Linked DNA regions of Drosophila melanogaster. The protein of the gene in region 1 interacts with the protein of each later gene in a pairwise test. Each region holds a gene or a part of one and is shown in the gene's direction. Other genes may lie near its edges.

Region 1 (6,515 bases):
TATACTATTCTGGATATCCCTACCTCTTAACTTATGTACGCAAAATTTTTCATATACCAAACAATGAGGTAATCCGAAAATGGTGATAAGTTGCAACGATCATTTTTGTATGTCCAATAGTTAACCTTAACCCCTTGTTGCCCCTTGGGTGCTACTGTGGCAGCTCCGCATGTGGAAAACAAATTGCTTAGAAAACATAAACAAATTACAGCAAATTAATAAAGCCGTTCGACGGTTTTTTAATGGACCAGAGGGCAAACCGAAGAGGGGATCGCTGGGAAAAGGCACATAAACATATATACATACATATATCCCCTGATCGGGGTGGTGGCATGTAAACGATAATGTAATGGGGAGAGAAAATGCCATGGCTGAGTACCCGATTTTCCCTTTTGGCAGGCACTCGTCAAAATGGGCGAGATAAGACCATTTGGTATGGTTTGTTTGGGGCCCAAAACTGAGAAAATATCAAAACATCATTTCGAACGCTTCGCAAATGGGCGAAAGGAAAGTGGGAGGGGCAGCACCTTTGTACCGTTACCGGTTCTTAAAGACGCAAAAGGTGGCAAACTAGTTTCGCCGCTGGATAGTTGGCCTTCGATGGCTGCGTTCTGCGATACCTTCGTCCTGACAATAGAAATGGAAAATTCAGGCAAACAGGAGCAGAAATGGGAAGGGACCAAGTAGAAGAAGAAGCAGGAGAGTGCGTAAGCCGCAAGGATCAGAAGGATCTGGAAACAGATGGTACAGCTGCGCGGAATACAACCAAAGCTTAACCCACTAAGGATAGGGGTTTCTAAACAAGTAAACTTTGACCTCTTGAAAATTTATGATACACTACATTTGAAACCTATCGTGTTATATTAATAAACAAAAGTATGTTTTCAGTACTTTTAAATGTAAGTATGTATATCATCTAACCATTGTAACTATAAGCAAAGATGGGTTTATTTATATGCAAAATGTAGCTTGCTTATTTAGGGGTTAAGCATCCAGGGGCTGGGGAATCGATTGGCATTCGGCAGATGTTGTCCTGTGGCACATCCTTTGTAATTAACAAAGGAGTGCGGTGGAGTCGGCGGTGAGAAGAGACCTCGAGGCACGGGTTAAGCCCATTAAAAGTCCCCAACGACTCGAGCCCGTTTGTGTGTACAGTTGCCATTGGGATCGTTCAGCCGCGCTCTTAGTCGGTCCTTCAGTTAGTCAGTCATTCAGTCCGTCAGTCAGTCATACCGTCAGTCATTTAGCCACTCAGTCAGTTTGCCAACCTGTCTCTGTTTGGCATCACCTGCCATCGCCATCGTCTGTTGTCTGTTAATGTGTTTAATGATGCCCTGGCCATCGGCGATCTCAGTTCAGTTTTCATTTATGCTAAATTGCGACTCTTATGCTGCGCTGCAAAAAAGCTGAAATATTAGCCGTCCTCATTATATAAGTACAGACACATTGAAGATAAGCATAAAGCACAATTACAAGCCGAATAAAAAGTTAGTAAACTTAAATCCTTTGTTGGTTTCATTTTCGAAATATGTTATTGATCTTACAAATGATCTTAAATGCCATTAATTGATTTATAGTTCTTAGTTCTTTGATCAAGCTTAAAAAGGATCTGGTTGAAAGAAATGTAATAAATTTCATGGTATCTTTTTCATAGCTAAGCGATCAGCTCTGCTCAAGGTGTGACTATGAGACTCTGTGCCACTCCAGATGTGTCCGGACATGCCTCGTGCCTCAGCGATTGTCCTGATGCGCGATATGCGGGCAGCGCGGGTCTTCGTCTTCTGGTTTCTTCATCGATCTCTAGCCACGCGCCGCAACTTTCCTCGCGACTCTCGGTCGCACTCTTGCCGCCGATGCACCTGCTCGCCAACCAAATGTAAACCCAACTGGCCACCGAATGTGGGCCGCCCTAATGGAGTTGTCCCCGGGCCCAAGGTTCGCAACTTTTACCAGCCTGCTCTGGGCGATCATTAGCTGACAGAAGGCCTCACTCGACGGACAACATTTTTTGGGCTTTAAGTCTTAGTTAAAACTTCTTTTTTGGGCTTCTAGGGGATCTTCTATGCATTCGGAAGGATACAATTGCTGATGTTGGGATATGTACCTATAGTAAGTCAGCAATGAATTTGCTTTCATAAATATACATTAAATCTTTTAAAGTGTATCCTTTACGCAGAACTTTCCATATCTAAATATGTCTCTTAAATTTAAAAATATATTATAAATTATTCTAGAAGTATCCTAAAAAAATCTATTAGGTGAGGCTTTTGAAATCCTTCAAAATCAGTGGCTGCATCCTTATTTAGACAGTCTCTTTCTCGTATGACATAACATCCCCCTGTTCTACGACATTCCAGAAGCCTTGTTAGGGAAACCTTTGGTCCTTTCTGGGAGAGTATCAAGCGATTCGGCGCAGAGAGCGAACAAAGATCGAGGTACCCTTTATTTTTCGAGAGTAAGAGAGTTCATACGAGTTGCTAAGGATATAGCTATGCATCTTATTCTGCATTTAAATTTAAACCAATACACTATGAAAATCCTTAAACAAAAGTATAATTTATACACATATGTATGTATACTTAAGTTGTTATATTTTATGTCTAGCTAACGTCAGACTCCACGACTTGAAGTGTTACTTTATACATTCTATGCCCCTTAAAAGGCAGGTAGTAGGTATCTAAAAGTTGCCACCCCTGCGAGCTGCGTTCCTTTTTGCAGCCGCTGCTTCTGCCGGCGTCGGCAGAGAAATTCGAGTCTGAGTTCTGAAGTCGTTTTCGTTGAGGCGACGAGCTGAGTCGCCGCTGTGGAGGAAATTCAATTGCGCGCAATCCATCGGCGGCGACGGTTGTGTCTCAAAAGAGCCTTCCAACTCCTGACTACTACTGATCAAAAGAAATAAAAGTAAAAAGTGACCAAGTTACTGCGGATCGAGGAAGTTAAAGCCTTGAGCCTCCGGCACGACGATGGTGTGTTAAACATTTTTGTGCGCTTGTGTTTGTTTGTCGGTGAGTTGAGTGCGCGCGCTACTTTTATTTGTTAACTTCACCAAACAGAACCGTTAGTCCCAAGTGCCCTCACAAAAAAAAAAAAATAGAAAAACACCAACTAAAGGAAAAGAAACATCATAAACCGACGAAATATCCCCCAAAGAATCTGTGTAAAAGTGCAAAGAGACAAGGCGGAGAATGCGCCCGAAAAAATCAAGGAAAAAATAACAGAAAAAACATTTGGCTGGGTGCGGTGATCTTGAACCCGGGCTCAACTCCGCGTAACGGTGCATCGGCAAGTGCAGGAAGAAATGGGTGAAGATGGAATAGAGGAGGAAGGAGGAGAAGAAGGATGAGGAGCGCGATGAGGCCGTTGCATTTCTTTTGATTGCTTGTGTATCATCTTCGGGGATCTCTGAGCGCCCACTCTTTTTGCGGGCATTTTCCGCTCATTTTTGGCGCAGCCTCCCAAAAGGTAATCTCCCCAAGTTCCCAAGACCAGCGTTATAAAACTGCCGTTAGTTTTTTTATGTTTAACCGTTTTTGGGCGCAGCCGCGAGGAGTGACTCTCTCCTGCAGATAATTACGGCAAAAAGGTGAAGAATTTATGCTGACCATCAAAATAGCTAATAGTTGGAAGTTAAACTAAAGCGCTCTGCTAAAAAGTCTTTTTGCGCCCAAATGATTGTGCATATAGGCGGGGAAAATGGCGATTTTCCTGTCGCCTTTTGATTTATTTACATGTGCTTTTGCAGAAGCACAAAGAAATAAGAAGCCATTCTTTGTGCAGAAGTCAAACAAACATTCTGACTCATTCTCTTCGCGCTCTTTTTTGTTGAACTTTTATTTGTTTTTTAACATGAGCCCCAGTGCGGGAGAAAGAGCAAGTAAAGTTAAAGTAACGGACAAGGAACATAAGCATCGTCATCGCCCCCAGTTCTTCTCCTTATCCCTACCATCATCACGTGTCGCCAACTCTGTTCTTCGCCTACACAGACATAAAATGTGAGGATCTTAATTTAAATTAGAATGGCAGTTGTAGTTTTTAAAAAGTATTTAAACTAAATATTAAACCAGGATAACTTATTTATTTTTCAAAATCTTCACACTTTCTTCAAGAAACCGATTGATTGAATAATCATTTTGACGAACTTTGATGATGATTCGTATAAGCTATTTCTCTCAGTGCACGCTTTTTGCTCTGGCCATCAGCCATGTCAGCGCCTTCATTATAATAATTTTTATTGCTTTTGCATAAATCAAAAATCATGGAAAAAGAAACAACTGGCAATCGTAAAATGTGAAGAGAGGCTACAAAACATAAAAGGTGCGTTTTTCGACTGTCTGCACTAATTTCACAAAATGTTGTTCGTTGGACCCGCGTTTTCCTTTTTTTTCTTAATCCTCGCATTTCCGTTACTGTTGCTTTTGTTTTTGTGCCAAATCATTGCGGTCTCTGCATACAAATTCATTAGTGACGGCCCCTATTCTTTGCTCTTCTTGCTCCTTTGGAAGAATTCTCCATCTTCACCTTCTCCACCTCCCACACACTCTCGTTTCTGGGAATTGCCATTTTTGTTTTTGTTGTTGTTGGAGCACCTTTCTTGCAGCGGATTCTGCAGGAACTCACACGGCGCCCTCTCTTCTCATCCCCATTTTTTACAAAGCCTCCTTGTTTCTCGCTTTTCTACAGAATTATGCACAAGGCCTAGGGGCAACTTTCTTTTTGTGTGTTTTTAGTTCACAGTTGATAGGCAAAACTTCTGGACCTTTTCAACTCAAATGTAGATAATAGGAAATCAAGGAAAATGCTGCAGTAAAACTACTTTCTTGATGTGAAATATTATTTATACACTCATTTCTTTCCTATACTATTAATTATAACAATTCATGGGTCATGTAAGCATTTATCGTAGTCCATATCAATCAGTCCCAATCTGTCTTTTGCCACATTAGTTTCCCATGGAGTGAACATAACCTTCTAACGCAACAAAGCTCCACATTCCCTAAATAAATTTCAACACTTTGTTTTGTAGCTCTTTCGGAGTCTACAAAACCGAAGCGCACAAAAAATTAAGATCAAATTTTTACCAGCTGCTTAGTTTCAATTTCTTTTTGCTCGATTCTGTCCTGATTACTGTAACCAAAAATGTGACCCACACCCCCTCCCAAAAGCCCACACTTTGACAATTTGGTCACTAATTTTAGGGCCCTATACTCCGATGTCTGAGCGAAATACAGTTGTCGGTAAAATTTTATTGATCTTCGTTTTTTCTGCACAAAAATATAAAATTGTTTCATGGTCGAGGCTCGTCGTTGCTGTTGTTGCCGACGAAATCGAAATCTCGCCAAGAAGCAAACGGCAATCAGCAAATCGAATTCAAAACGCGTGTGTGGAGGGAGGAAGTCCCAGATCCCAGAAGAAGATCCCTTAAGAGAGCCCAAAGAGACGACTCCAGACTTGAGACGCGCCACGACAATAACAACAACAAAGCCGCAATCAGCAAATACTTGGTTTAGGCGGGCCAATACACCGGAAACAATCAAGACTAATATTGACATGACATACCTTAACTAAAATCACTTTGATAGGTGCAAAGATAGTTTCAAGGTTCCAGTCTATTCAATTTATATGTAATTATTTATTCAAATTTGGCGAGGTTATTAATTATCTTATTTGACCGTTATGACTGGGTAATATTTGGCAGTGTAGCCACTGTCCCATCGAAGAGCCACAAAGGGCCGCCCGAAAAAATATTTTTATCTTGATATTTCTGTTTTTTTGCCGCTGTTTGTTGTTGTTGCTGTTCTAAATACGCCAAAAGTTGCTTTCAGGGCATAAATATATGTCTTTAGTGTGGCATGTCTGGTTGCGTTTTTGGAACTTGGTAAATGGGAACGAATACAGACGGACCTGACCAAAAAATCTGGACCCGGGATCCCAAAGTCGGGCAGAATTCATGGAATTAGTTAACGATTAATGATTGGATATTGATTTCGCTTTTGTGGCCTCTGAGTGGTTGGATCGAGTGACTCTCTTTGGCAACTTGGCCCGTCCGTTTCGCTTTTACTACTCATTAATTTCCTTTAACTATCTTGAGGGGCATTAAAAAACACTGCTGAGCAAAATGAAGTTCCTGCGGCAACATCTTATTCGCATTGGCTTCTTTCTCCATTGAAGAAGCCACTTTACATAGTTTATTTGCGTTGTTGCCAACTTTCTTTTTGAGAGATTCTCTTCCTTATAGCGTCGCTAACAGCTTTACGATCTGAGCAGACATAAAACTCGCAGCCAAGGAAGATAACACTCTACTGCCAGTGCCAGAAGAATGGAATGGGGATTCTACGCTGTTCAGGTAGTATTCTTCGTTTCTGGGAAACTTAATTTGTGCTCCTGGCCGCCATATCAAATTGGCGCTATCGAATACCTAACAGGGGGCAAACATATACCCGTTTGTTTACACATATACACATACATACATATGAACACATGCATGTATAGGCAATGCCCCATATAACTATGAAGCA
Region 2 (5,609 bases), on another chromosome or scaffold:
AGCTAGAGTTAGAGCTAGAGCAATATCAGGTTTTCCAACCGTACTGCAGTTTTCCTGTCCAGATGTAAGTGCACGAATCTAGCGCATATTAGTTTCCGCCGCCACTTCCACTTCAAAGCAGCAATTAAAGACGGACTGCCTTGCGGAATTTGATTATCTGCGCACGGAGTTCGAGTTTGGCCCACTGCCACCGGTTGATCCACTTGCAAATTTTTGGTTTGCTGCGATTAGCTACATACTCGGGCCGGCCCACGCACTATCTGGCCGAGAACCTTACGGAACCGATTAGATTTGGCCCGTTTCGCGGCGATCCGATCTGCGCTGGGATTAGAGAGCGGGCCTGGAACTGGGACTGGTTCTCCGCTGGACTGGACTGTGCGTACTGCCGACCAAACAAGTTATTACTACGACGTCGGAATCGGACGGAATCAGTTCGAGCTGGGCAACTGAACTGAGCAATGCCAGCAGAGCAGTCGCTCCTCTTTCCTCATTCTTTGCTGTCGCAGTTGCCGTCGCTGCATAGGTCGACGCCGCTGCCGCCGCACTGATAACCGGGCAGGCGGTCAGCTATGATTGCAGATTACCGCTGGACGGAGCCGGCGCCGACTGCGCTGTCGAGAAATCAAGAAATCGGGATCCCTTGTTTACTACGTAGCAGCTTTGTGCGTACCCGCGAGACAAAGTGCAAAGCAAATCGTCAAAACAATGAATCCACTCGGAGCATTATATAAGATGTACCAAACCTCCAGCTGCTCGTTCCGCTCCAGCTTCGTCTGCGCATCATTATTATTGAATCAGAATGGATTCGTTAAGGAGGAGGCTCAGAAACGGAGGCTTTATAGATTTCCTTTAAAAAGTGTAAATAAACCAGTCGATGTTTTGTTTTCGTTTTGATTTTATATTATGGCACGCTGATGCAAATATTTAAAAAGTCCCATAACTATTTTTAGGTGTGCGCTGTCGCCAAAACAATTTAAATATCCCTTAAGTACTTGGGTTCCCTTTACCCATGGACCTGCATTTGGTTTACCCAAGTAATTAACGGCGGTGAAATGCACTCTGAGAACTGCGACGAATACACAAATGCTGAATATGCTTTCATATCTTGCTCTCGTTTGTAATTTTGAGACGAGGACGTATTTAAACTGGCTTATCGCGCCCCTTCTTGGATTATTGAGATGGCAGAAAGGCCGGAAGATCGCAAATACCCCCGCCGGAGCCGTGTTATTGAACCCCAAGTGTAAATGAGCTTAGCTTTATCAATTCAAGTATTCCGCCGTTTCAAAACGTCCCTTTTCCGAAATGCCTGCCTATTGCCCACCTCATCGGGTTTCGCATCAGCACAGTTGATAGCCGCTCTGAACTTTTTGTTTTCCTCTGATCGGTTGACGCGCACGGGTATTCAATCTCTTAATCTGTCGTGCTAGCTACTGGCCCCTCAATTTCGCAGACCTGCCTGAAATATTAACCTGAGCACTCTCGACGGACCAGTTAATTGTGCGGTGTTCAAGTTCGGCTGACAGCTCAAGGGGCTAAATGAGTTACTTAAACTTGTTTTAGGGTCTCCCGTAAGCCGCCCTCGACAGATGTTTGCTCGTGCCGGTTATTATCGGCTAGTGCCCACTACCCTTCGACCGCTTACAGGAATCTTATCACCCGAGTGAGCTGCCTTATCAACCCGGTTGCCAGGCAGTAAAGTGCCAAACAATTCACAAACACAATCGAATATCAGAACACCAGTACACTGTAGTGAAGCCAAACAGTTGGGAGAGTGCTCAAAACCCTTTGGAACTCTTGAAATCTTAATGGAACTCTGATCGTTGGCCATGCAGTTGGACGACATTCTGCATAGTAAGTCAGAAATGGAATCATTACAGAAGTTAGACTTGGTACTGCTTTCGGGGCTATGATGACACGCCATCGGAGCTGAATTAGCATATGCGTACGCCGTTGTTGTTTTCGCGGTGTTTTTGTTATTATTTATTGCATCATTTACAGCAACAAATGCGCCACTTTGTACGACAGTTTACATAAACAGAAAGGTCGCATGCAACCCGGTTAGCCTTATTGGCATGCAAAGTCACCGCGGAGTCAAGCTTCGGATACGGGTCTCCATTAAGGTGATTATGTGTGGTTGGACTTGGCGTGGAATGTCACAAGCATTGGGGCGATATTGTCTTGGCCTACCTTCTATGTACGTACTACAAAGAAATGTAGAATTATATTTATATTAGTGTGTGACGATTGCCCAAGAGTTAAGGCTTATATTGGATCATGTTATATGTTATGTTATATATTATATAATGCAACCAGATGCGCTACCGCCATGCAACTGAAAGTCCACTATATTTTCAGGGTGGACTTTAGATTTTTCTATGTGCCCGTTGTATTTTCCGTTCTTATAATATTAGATTTTATAATTTGTCTGGGAAAACAGCTTACTTGTTTATTTAGCAAGTCCCAGTTTATGCAGAAGAAGCGATTCACCAGCCGGAATTTCTCCAGCTGTTTACCAAGAAGTCCGTGCATGAAAAGAAAACGTGGGCAATTCATTGAATCGCATTAGCTTTATTGATTTCCCCTTGTTGATTGATTATGTAAATACAGCAAGTTTCTGACGCCAGTTTTTTCCACAGCTGAATCGCGCATATCCTAGACTTCGCTTTGGCGAGATTTTGATTCTGGGCAGGCAGCAAAGAAACGCTTCGCAATGCAGACAAAAAGCTCCATCGACAATAACAATAATTTGAGATCGACGGAGCTGTCAAATTTGCATACATTCTGCATACTGCAACCTGTCGTCGATCGTGGATGTGGTTATTGTGCTGAGTTTGGCAACCAACCCGTGAGTCACCTGCCACAACAACCACAACCGCGAGAGCACTAACGACAGATATCATAATCCCGCGAGTGGACGAGTGTGTTGGTGTGGCAATCAGTGATATTTTTGGAGTTAGTAGCATAAAACGAAACGCGCAACGCAACAAAACGAAAGACTTCAATGCAAGGCAAGGCAACAAACTCGTTTTATCAGCCTGGTCCAAACATTGGCAACCACATGGACCGCCTCGCCCGATGCCGATCCGCTCGTGCTTTGATCGCATGCGTTGCACTAGCAAAACCCAAAAGCTCCCGCTTGCTCACTCTCGCTTTTGCATTGCTACCCACCTGCCGGGCTGGGGGTTTCGCCTACCTGTTTATCAGGTTTTCCAGTTGTGCTTTGTCGCAACGCGAAGCCGAGCTTTCGCCGCCTGAACATCTTACGATCTTACGTTGGGGGGCCACTTGAAGACGGCGACTTCAGTTACTTGACGGCACTGCGAGCGTTCGAGTCGTTAACGATTTTTACCGGCGGTTGTTGCTTAACGTTCCCTGCTCACCGATCAACGATTACCTTCCTCGTTATAGCCCGGGCCCAAGAATCTTGGCTTGTACATCGGACCGCCGCAAGTCCGTGTTACCGTCAAAAACAGTGTGAGTGAGTGAGTTGGCATGGCTATTTGGAAATGCCTGTGGTTTCCAGCCCGTCCAGCCCGAATCAAACCTGCCGCACCAGATACGAGGCACCAGTGGCAGTAAGAGAGTGTTGGGGCAGCAGTGCGAGCCGCATTCCTAGGATTTGCCTGACTACAGCTGAGTTCAATTATTGTTTCTGCCCCGATCGGTAGCAGACCCTTGGTCCCCGTTCCACGGTCCGAGTACGAATCCGCATCCCAGTCACCAACTTCGACTCCAATCAGAGCGCTGGTTAAGCAAGACCTTGCCCAGTCAGCCAAAATGAAACCACTTCGACAGCGAGTTCGCTTAGCAGCGCTACAAAAGCGGAAAATCATTGAATTATGCTTGGGGGCTATGATTTTTCAGTGTTTGTGTTTTTATTTCTGCTTCGGTTTCTGTGCTGCCTCCGCGTCTAAACGCTGTCTGCGGCCCTGCCAAAAGCGCATTTGATGTACGTGCATAGTTTTATGATTACTTGTGTGGAAAAAGTGAAATTTCGCTCTGCACTTCACTCGGGCTGCCACGAAGCAGCGACTCACAGCGAAATCAAATAAAAAGCAAAGCCAAACACACATTTACGAGACGCGAGATCCGAAATTAAGCATGCGCAGGCAAGAAAACCTAAGATAAATACTTATAAATAAATGAACAGGGGCCAGCCAGCTTTTGACCACATAACGAAGACGATTATGTGAAGGTTGCAGCAGCAAAGAGCTTTGGGCCATCTCCGTCATCAGGTCGGTTTGCCCTACCGCTGTGCCCAGTTGATCATCTAATTGAGGTGACAATTGGGTGGCTTTGTCTTAGCCAACTGTTGACACATTTCACTGAGAAAGCCATCGCACGCTTCGCACTCCGAAGTCCCCTGTCTCTCCCACGGCGGAACTGACCCACTGAAAGTCCAAGATGAACCACTTCAGTCCGCACATGTCTGTCACGCCATTGACGACGACACCAACATGGTTTAAGTCCTAGATGTAAAACCCATTTCGTTGCGTATTATCAAATGCAGCACGGCACGACAAAACGGCAAGTGAATTGTCATCCGCTGGCATACTTTTTTGGACGGTCAGTGTCACATTGTCCATAATCAGCGGGATCATATAAAGAGGGGTCGGTCCGAAGTTTCAAATACTCTTTAAAGCTGTGTTTGGGAATTTTCTGGAGCTTTGATTGAAAACCCGTGGAAAATCTTTTTCCCTACAAAGCCCCGATAGAGGCAAGAAATAGTGCAGACATCTTGGTTGACAGTGACTTGTAGGAGTGCAACTCTGAATGTAATACCCTCCGCAAGGGTAGCGTCTCACAATTTGGGTCAGGGTAATTGCCTCCACTAAACAGCTACTACCGCTTGTATTTATTTGTGCAACACTTTTTCACTGCGTTTAAATTATGAGACGATTCAGCTCGATCTCTGCGCCACCAAGCTGATCAAAGCCGAGGAGCGGATGGCTTCGCCGCAATACCGCTTTCGGCTCAGCTCATACCAAACGTGTGTTTAGAAAGTAAGTTTCTATTGAAGTTGGATTCTGGCCAGGCGATTTGCGTTAGGAAGCCAGCAGCTGCTAATTGAACAGCCACAGCAAGTGAAATCAAAAATAAAACAAGCCATTACATCAGAAATCGCAGTTGGATGGAATGCCGAGAAGCGCTATTGTTATGGAAAGGTGTTGCTGGGTCTAGGGTTTCCCGTTTCACAGATTTGCATACTTCGCGGCGAGCTCGACGCTGATAAGAGTCGCTCAAGTTCTGGGTAAACACTTGGCAACGCTGAGTCATACGGTCTGTGTAAACATTTGGGCCCGACGGGTACTGATTCCGAGCAGTGAGCAGGCTGCACGGTTGCAGTCGTTATTCGGAACAAAGCAGCCCAGTGGGGCGTGAACGCAGAGCCCAATTAGCAGGCAAAGAGCCAAACAACTGAAGGCATGGGTAGCCAAATCCAAATTGGAAATCACTGATTAATGGCCTGACCGACCAGTGTCGCCGAAAATTCATTTGAGGTGAAATAATTATTATTATTATATTATGGTTAATTAGTATTCAATGGGCATCGGTATCGGCATCGGCAACGTTAGCGGCGATGCCAACAATGGTGGATCCAATAGCCA
Region 3 (4,123 bases), on another chromosome or scaffold:
CGCCACTGAGGTTGCTGCTCAACCGTCAGATGCCACGGGAAGAGTAACCACGGATGTGTCCCTAGCAAGCCCGCCATCTTCCCCAGCCATACTTAATGTTTAACTCCAACCTACTTCAATATTGTAGAATGTTTTCTTATCCTGTAAAGGGGCATGTTGTAAACTGCCTGGTAATCTAATTTCTGGTAAAGACCGAGACGTAATTTGATGACCTCAGGTGAATCGGTATTTCCAATTGGTATTATCCTTTCAATGCTTAATAATAAATGTTACATAAAATTGTACAGGCATCTTTTTTTTTATTTAAAAACTGAGTGGTCTTTAACTTATTCTTAACTAAAGCTGGCCATAATCTTTGAGCAAATTCCTTCCAGCGCCTCAGTGGTGACATTCTTAAACTCAGTTAAATCCTCGCCAGAATCGCAGGCTTTGGATATCTGTTGATCCAGAGGCAGGGAGCCCAACAGCGGGATTCCCATTTCGGCGCACATGGCAGCGGCTCCTCCGGTTTTGGCTGGAAAGATTTCGGAGCTATTTCCACAATGGCCGCAACGGAAACTGCTCATATTCTCGATCACGCCCACAATGGGGATATTTTGCTTTTTACAAAAGTTGATCTCCTTGCGCACGTCCAGCAGAGACACCTCCTGTGGAGTGGTCACCATCACGGCGCGCAGGGACTCCGGGTTGGCGTCGTCTTTCAGGTACGAAACCACAGACAGGTGCTCATCGGAAGTTCCAGGTGGTGTGTCCAGTAGCAGGAGATCCAGATTTCCCCAGTCCACCTCGCTCAGAAACTGCCTGATCATGCCATTCTTCTTGGGTCCTCGCCAAATAATGGCATCGTCCACAGAGCCCAGAAGAAATCCGATGGACATCAGACACACGTTGTCTTCGATTCCCACAGGTGACCAGCCGTACCCAGACTGGTGGACACTCTCCCCCAGGGCGCCCATCAAACGCGGTTGCGATGGACCGCAAATGTCGATATCAAGCACGCCGAAGTTACTGTCCGGATTACTTCTGGCCAGATAGCGGGTTAGCAAGCTGGTTACCGTGCTCTTGCCAACGCCGCCTTTCCCGGACAGGATCAGCAGCTTGTGTTTGACATCTTTCATGGATTCGACCACCAAAGCCTTGCCGGGATCTTCGAGTTTCTTGTTGGGATCGCTGCAGAGTCCTTGGTTGGGGCAGCCCGAACAGGCACTTCCCTTGCCCGCCTCCTCGCTCTCGACGCCAGGACAGTGTTCCGGAGGTGGTGCCTGCATGGCTCTTAGTTTCAATAGTTCGAATTCCGTAAACTAATTGTGAAATGAAATGATAACAAGGGAACAGTGTGGCCAAGTTATAACCGGGCACTCAACAAGTGTTGATTAACTGCGATTAAAATTAAAAATAATATATAACTAAGATATTCAATTTTATTAATAATTTAATTTATAATTATAATTTATATAACATAATTTTTATGTATATGTAAATATTCATATTCATATTAAAGGAAACAAAAATGGGTTTATTAAAAATAAAGTTTTTTTTTATTTAGACAAAGTTGAAACATTGAAATAATTTTAATTTTAATTTTAGTAAGCAAGTAAACTTATAAGATTTGAATATCATACCAATTAGGTATAATTGAAAATTAAGTATAATTAAGTTAATTTAAAATGATAAATAATAAATATAAAATAAAATTATAAATATGTGTTAGCTTATATTTATTAGTATCTTTTCAGAATAGCGGTATTTTTAGCCGCCCAGCATACGGCCACTCTGCATTTAACTTGCTTGTCATCGCATTCGGCAACTCACAAACAACTTGTAATTTTCGTTAAAAAACCCCGAAAGTATAAATATAATTGCAACATGGAGACTCTACTGGGTATCAAGGGCCCTGACTTCGTGATGCTGGCGGCGGACACCACCCACGCCCGATCCATTATAGTGATGAAAGAGGGTAAGCCCAAATGGTGCTCATTTTCTTGGCGGCTTGGGACTCATTTCGTTAGTCTCCTTGAATTTCCATTGCAGATCAGAACAAAATCCACAAGGTGTCGGATAGTCTGCTTATTTCAACCGTCGGCGAATCGGGCGACACGGAGCAATTTACCGAATTCATTTCGAAGAACATAGCGTTGTACAAGATGCGCAATGGCTACGATTTAAGTCCACGTGAATCGGCTCATTTTACTCGCAAGAATCTGGCCGAATATCTTCGCAGTCGCACGCCCTACCAAGTGTTCATGTTTGTGGCCGGGTAAGGATCATGAGATCAGTCAATCCATTTGCTTTCCGTGCCTAATCTGTTTCTTCTCCCCAAAGCTACGATCCCAACGCGGGTCCGGAGCTCACCTTCATTGACTATTTGGCCAATGCACTGCCTGTGAATTACGCCGGTCATGGCTATGGTGCGATCTTCGCATCCAGCATCTATGACCGATACTGGCACCCCAATATAACCCAGGCGGAGGCCTACGACGTCTTCAAGAAGTGCATTGCCGAAATCCAGAAGCGCCTGGTCGTCAACCTCAAGAACTTCACCGTCGCCGTCGTGGACAAGGATGGTGTGCGAGATTTGGAGCCAATCAGCGCTGCTAGCCTGGCCGCTTAGTTAGGTTTTGATTTAAGCATTTAAAATGCAGTTTTGTAATAAAATGCGTCTGGATTCTTGGCTAATTTAATACACGAAGGTGGTTTATCGGTTTAAAAAAAAATATATTATTGAATTAGCGATCAGTCGGGCAAATTTTGTGTTCTAGACGATCATTAAGTAATTTCAATATTCAAGAAATCGAATTATAAAATTATATTTTATATCTTAAAAATGAATCTAATTTTAGTATACTCGTGGTATTTTTATATCCCTAGTATTTTTCATCGCACCGGTGGCAGTCACTCTAAAAGTTGTTATACAAAATAAATAGTATTTTTAACACAATATGAGCCTTGAACAACAGCCAGCCGTGGATCCCCACAATCCCCATGGACTGGGTGAGTCCTCAGAATAATCGAATATGACCACCAACTGACACTGCCCTTGCTAGGCGATCCAAATGATACTAGGTTGCGCAAGGTGGAGCGCGAAGTGCTGATACCCAAGATAATGCGCGATCGTGCCAAGACGGAGTTCTGCTCAAAGGAGGTGGCCGACTTCCAGGAGTGCTGCAAGGCCAGCAGTATACTGATGGTGGCCACCTGTCGGAAACAGAACTCAGCCCTGAAGGAATGCCTCACCCAGTGGTATCAGAACGAAGCCTTCAAGGAGGAGTGCAAGCAGATATATCTGCAGGAGCGCGCCGACTATCGCAGCACTGGCATACCCAAGAAGCACCGGCTGGAGAAGTTGTAGAGTCCCTGAGTAGTTCCTTATTGTTGTTTGCTTTGTACAAAAGTTAAGTAATTAAAACGCCGCACAATAGTCTCTGTTACTGTGGCTTCCTGCAAATCCCTGGAAGAGCTTATCTTCTTAGGCGGTTGGACAGTCAGGAGCAGCACATCCTTATCAGAAGTTTCTGCCACGCGTTGAACACCCTTCAAGTTCTTTGATTGATAGTGATCCGTATCACCAGGCTTTTGCACAATGACCAAAAAGCTGGCATGGTACAATCGAGGACTTTGCTTGTAGATAACTAAAAAAGGAAAGTTAGTATATATATTTCGCAGCTCTTCAGTTAAGAACTTACGAAAATCACCGCCGAACTTAATACCGCTCTTGATGACCCAATTCTTGGACTTCAAATACACATAGCTGGCCAAGTTCTCAACAAATTTCTCATTGTGCTCTTTGGCGACCTCCACAAACATGCAGAAGTCCATTAAATAACCAGCTGAGTTGGTTATATCTAAAACATTTAAATAGTGGGCCAGGAAGCAAGACTCTTCCATTCCGAGAAACAGGGTTTCGTTCTCGTCTCCACTTGCTGGTCCTCCGCGAGATTTGCTTCCCTTGCCAAAACAACCATTATCGTGCAGGGATTTAGCCTGTTCGGGATCAACTATCTCGACGGATAGTCCTGTAAATCTTCCCTTGTAACGTTCGCCATCCTGTCCACTTGGAAGAGGCGTGAAATTCGCATTCTTATTAAAGCAGCGCTTTCTTTTGCACTCAAATGTAAACTGCATT

The links. The genes of interacting proteins can lie anywhere in the genome.
Region 2: the proteins of jigr1 (region 1) and emp interact in a two-hybrid assay, tested with the Drosophila melanogaster proteins (one large-scale study listed by BioGRID).
Region 3: the proteins of jigr1 (region 1) and Prosbeta4 interact in a two-hybrid assay, tested with the Drosophila melanogaster proteins (one large-scale study listed by BioGRID).

Annotation. Positions count from the first base shown.
Region 1 is NT_033777.3:25,635,068-25,641,582, forward strand, and holds the start of jigr1 (jing interacting gene regulatory 1), read left to right. Parts: upstream 1-2,775; 5' UTR 2,776-3,005; exon of another isoform or gene 3,006-3,462; intron 3,463-4,725; exon of another isoform or gene 4,726-4,886; intron 4,887-6,515.
Region 2 is NT_033778.4:24,980,892-24,986,500, reverse strand, and holds the start of emp (epithelial membrane protein), read left to right. Parts: upstream 1-1,706; 5' UTR 1,707-1,826; coding exon 1,827-1,851; exon of another isoform or gene 1,852-1,942; intron 1,943-1,998; exon of another isoform or gene 1,999-2,120; intron 2,121-3,296; exon of another isoform or gene 3,297-3,474; intron 3,475-5,342; exon of another isoform or gene 5,343-5,501; intron 5,502-5,609.
Region 3 is NT_033779.5:16,729,777-16,733,899, reverse strand, and holds Prosbeta4 (proteasome beta4 subunit), read left to right. Parts: upstream 1-1,766; 5' UTR 1,767-1,866; coding exon 1,867-1,957; intron 1,958-2,031; coding exon 2,032-2,257; intron 2,258-2,322; coding exon 2,323-2,611; 3' UTR 2,612-2,720; downstream 2,721-4,123. Other genes in the region: glu (gluon), read left to right, coding at 1-103; Nubp1 (NUBP iron-sulfur cluster assembly factor 1), read right to left, coding at 333-1,268; CG17996 (uncharacterized protein), read left to right, coding at 2,940-2,991, 3,045-3,349; Tsen2 (tRNA splicing endonuclease subunit 2), read right to left, coding at 3,367-3,629, 3,684-4,122.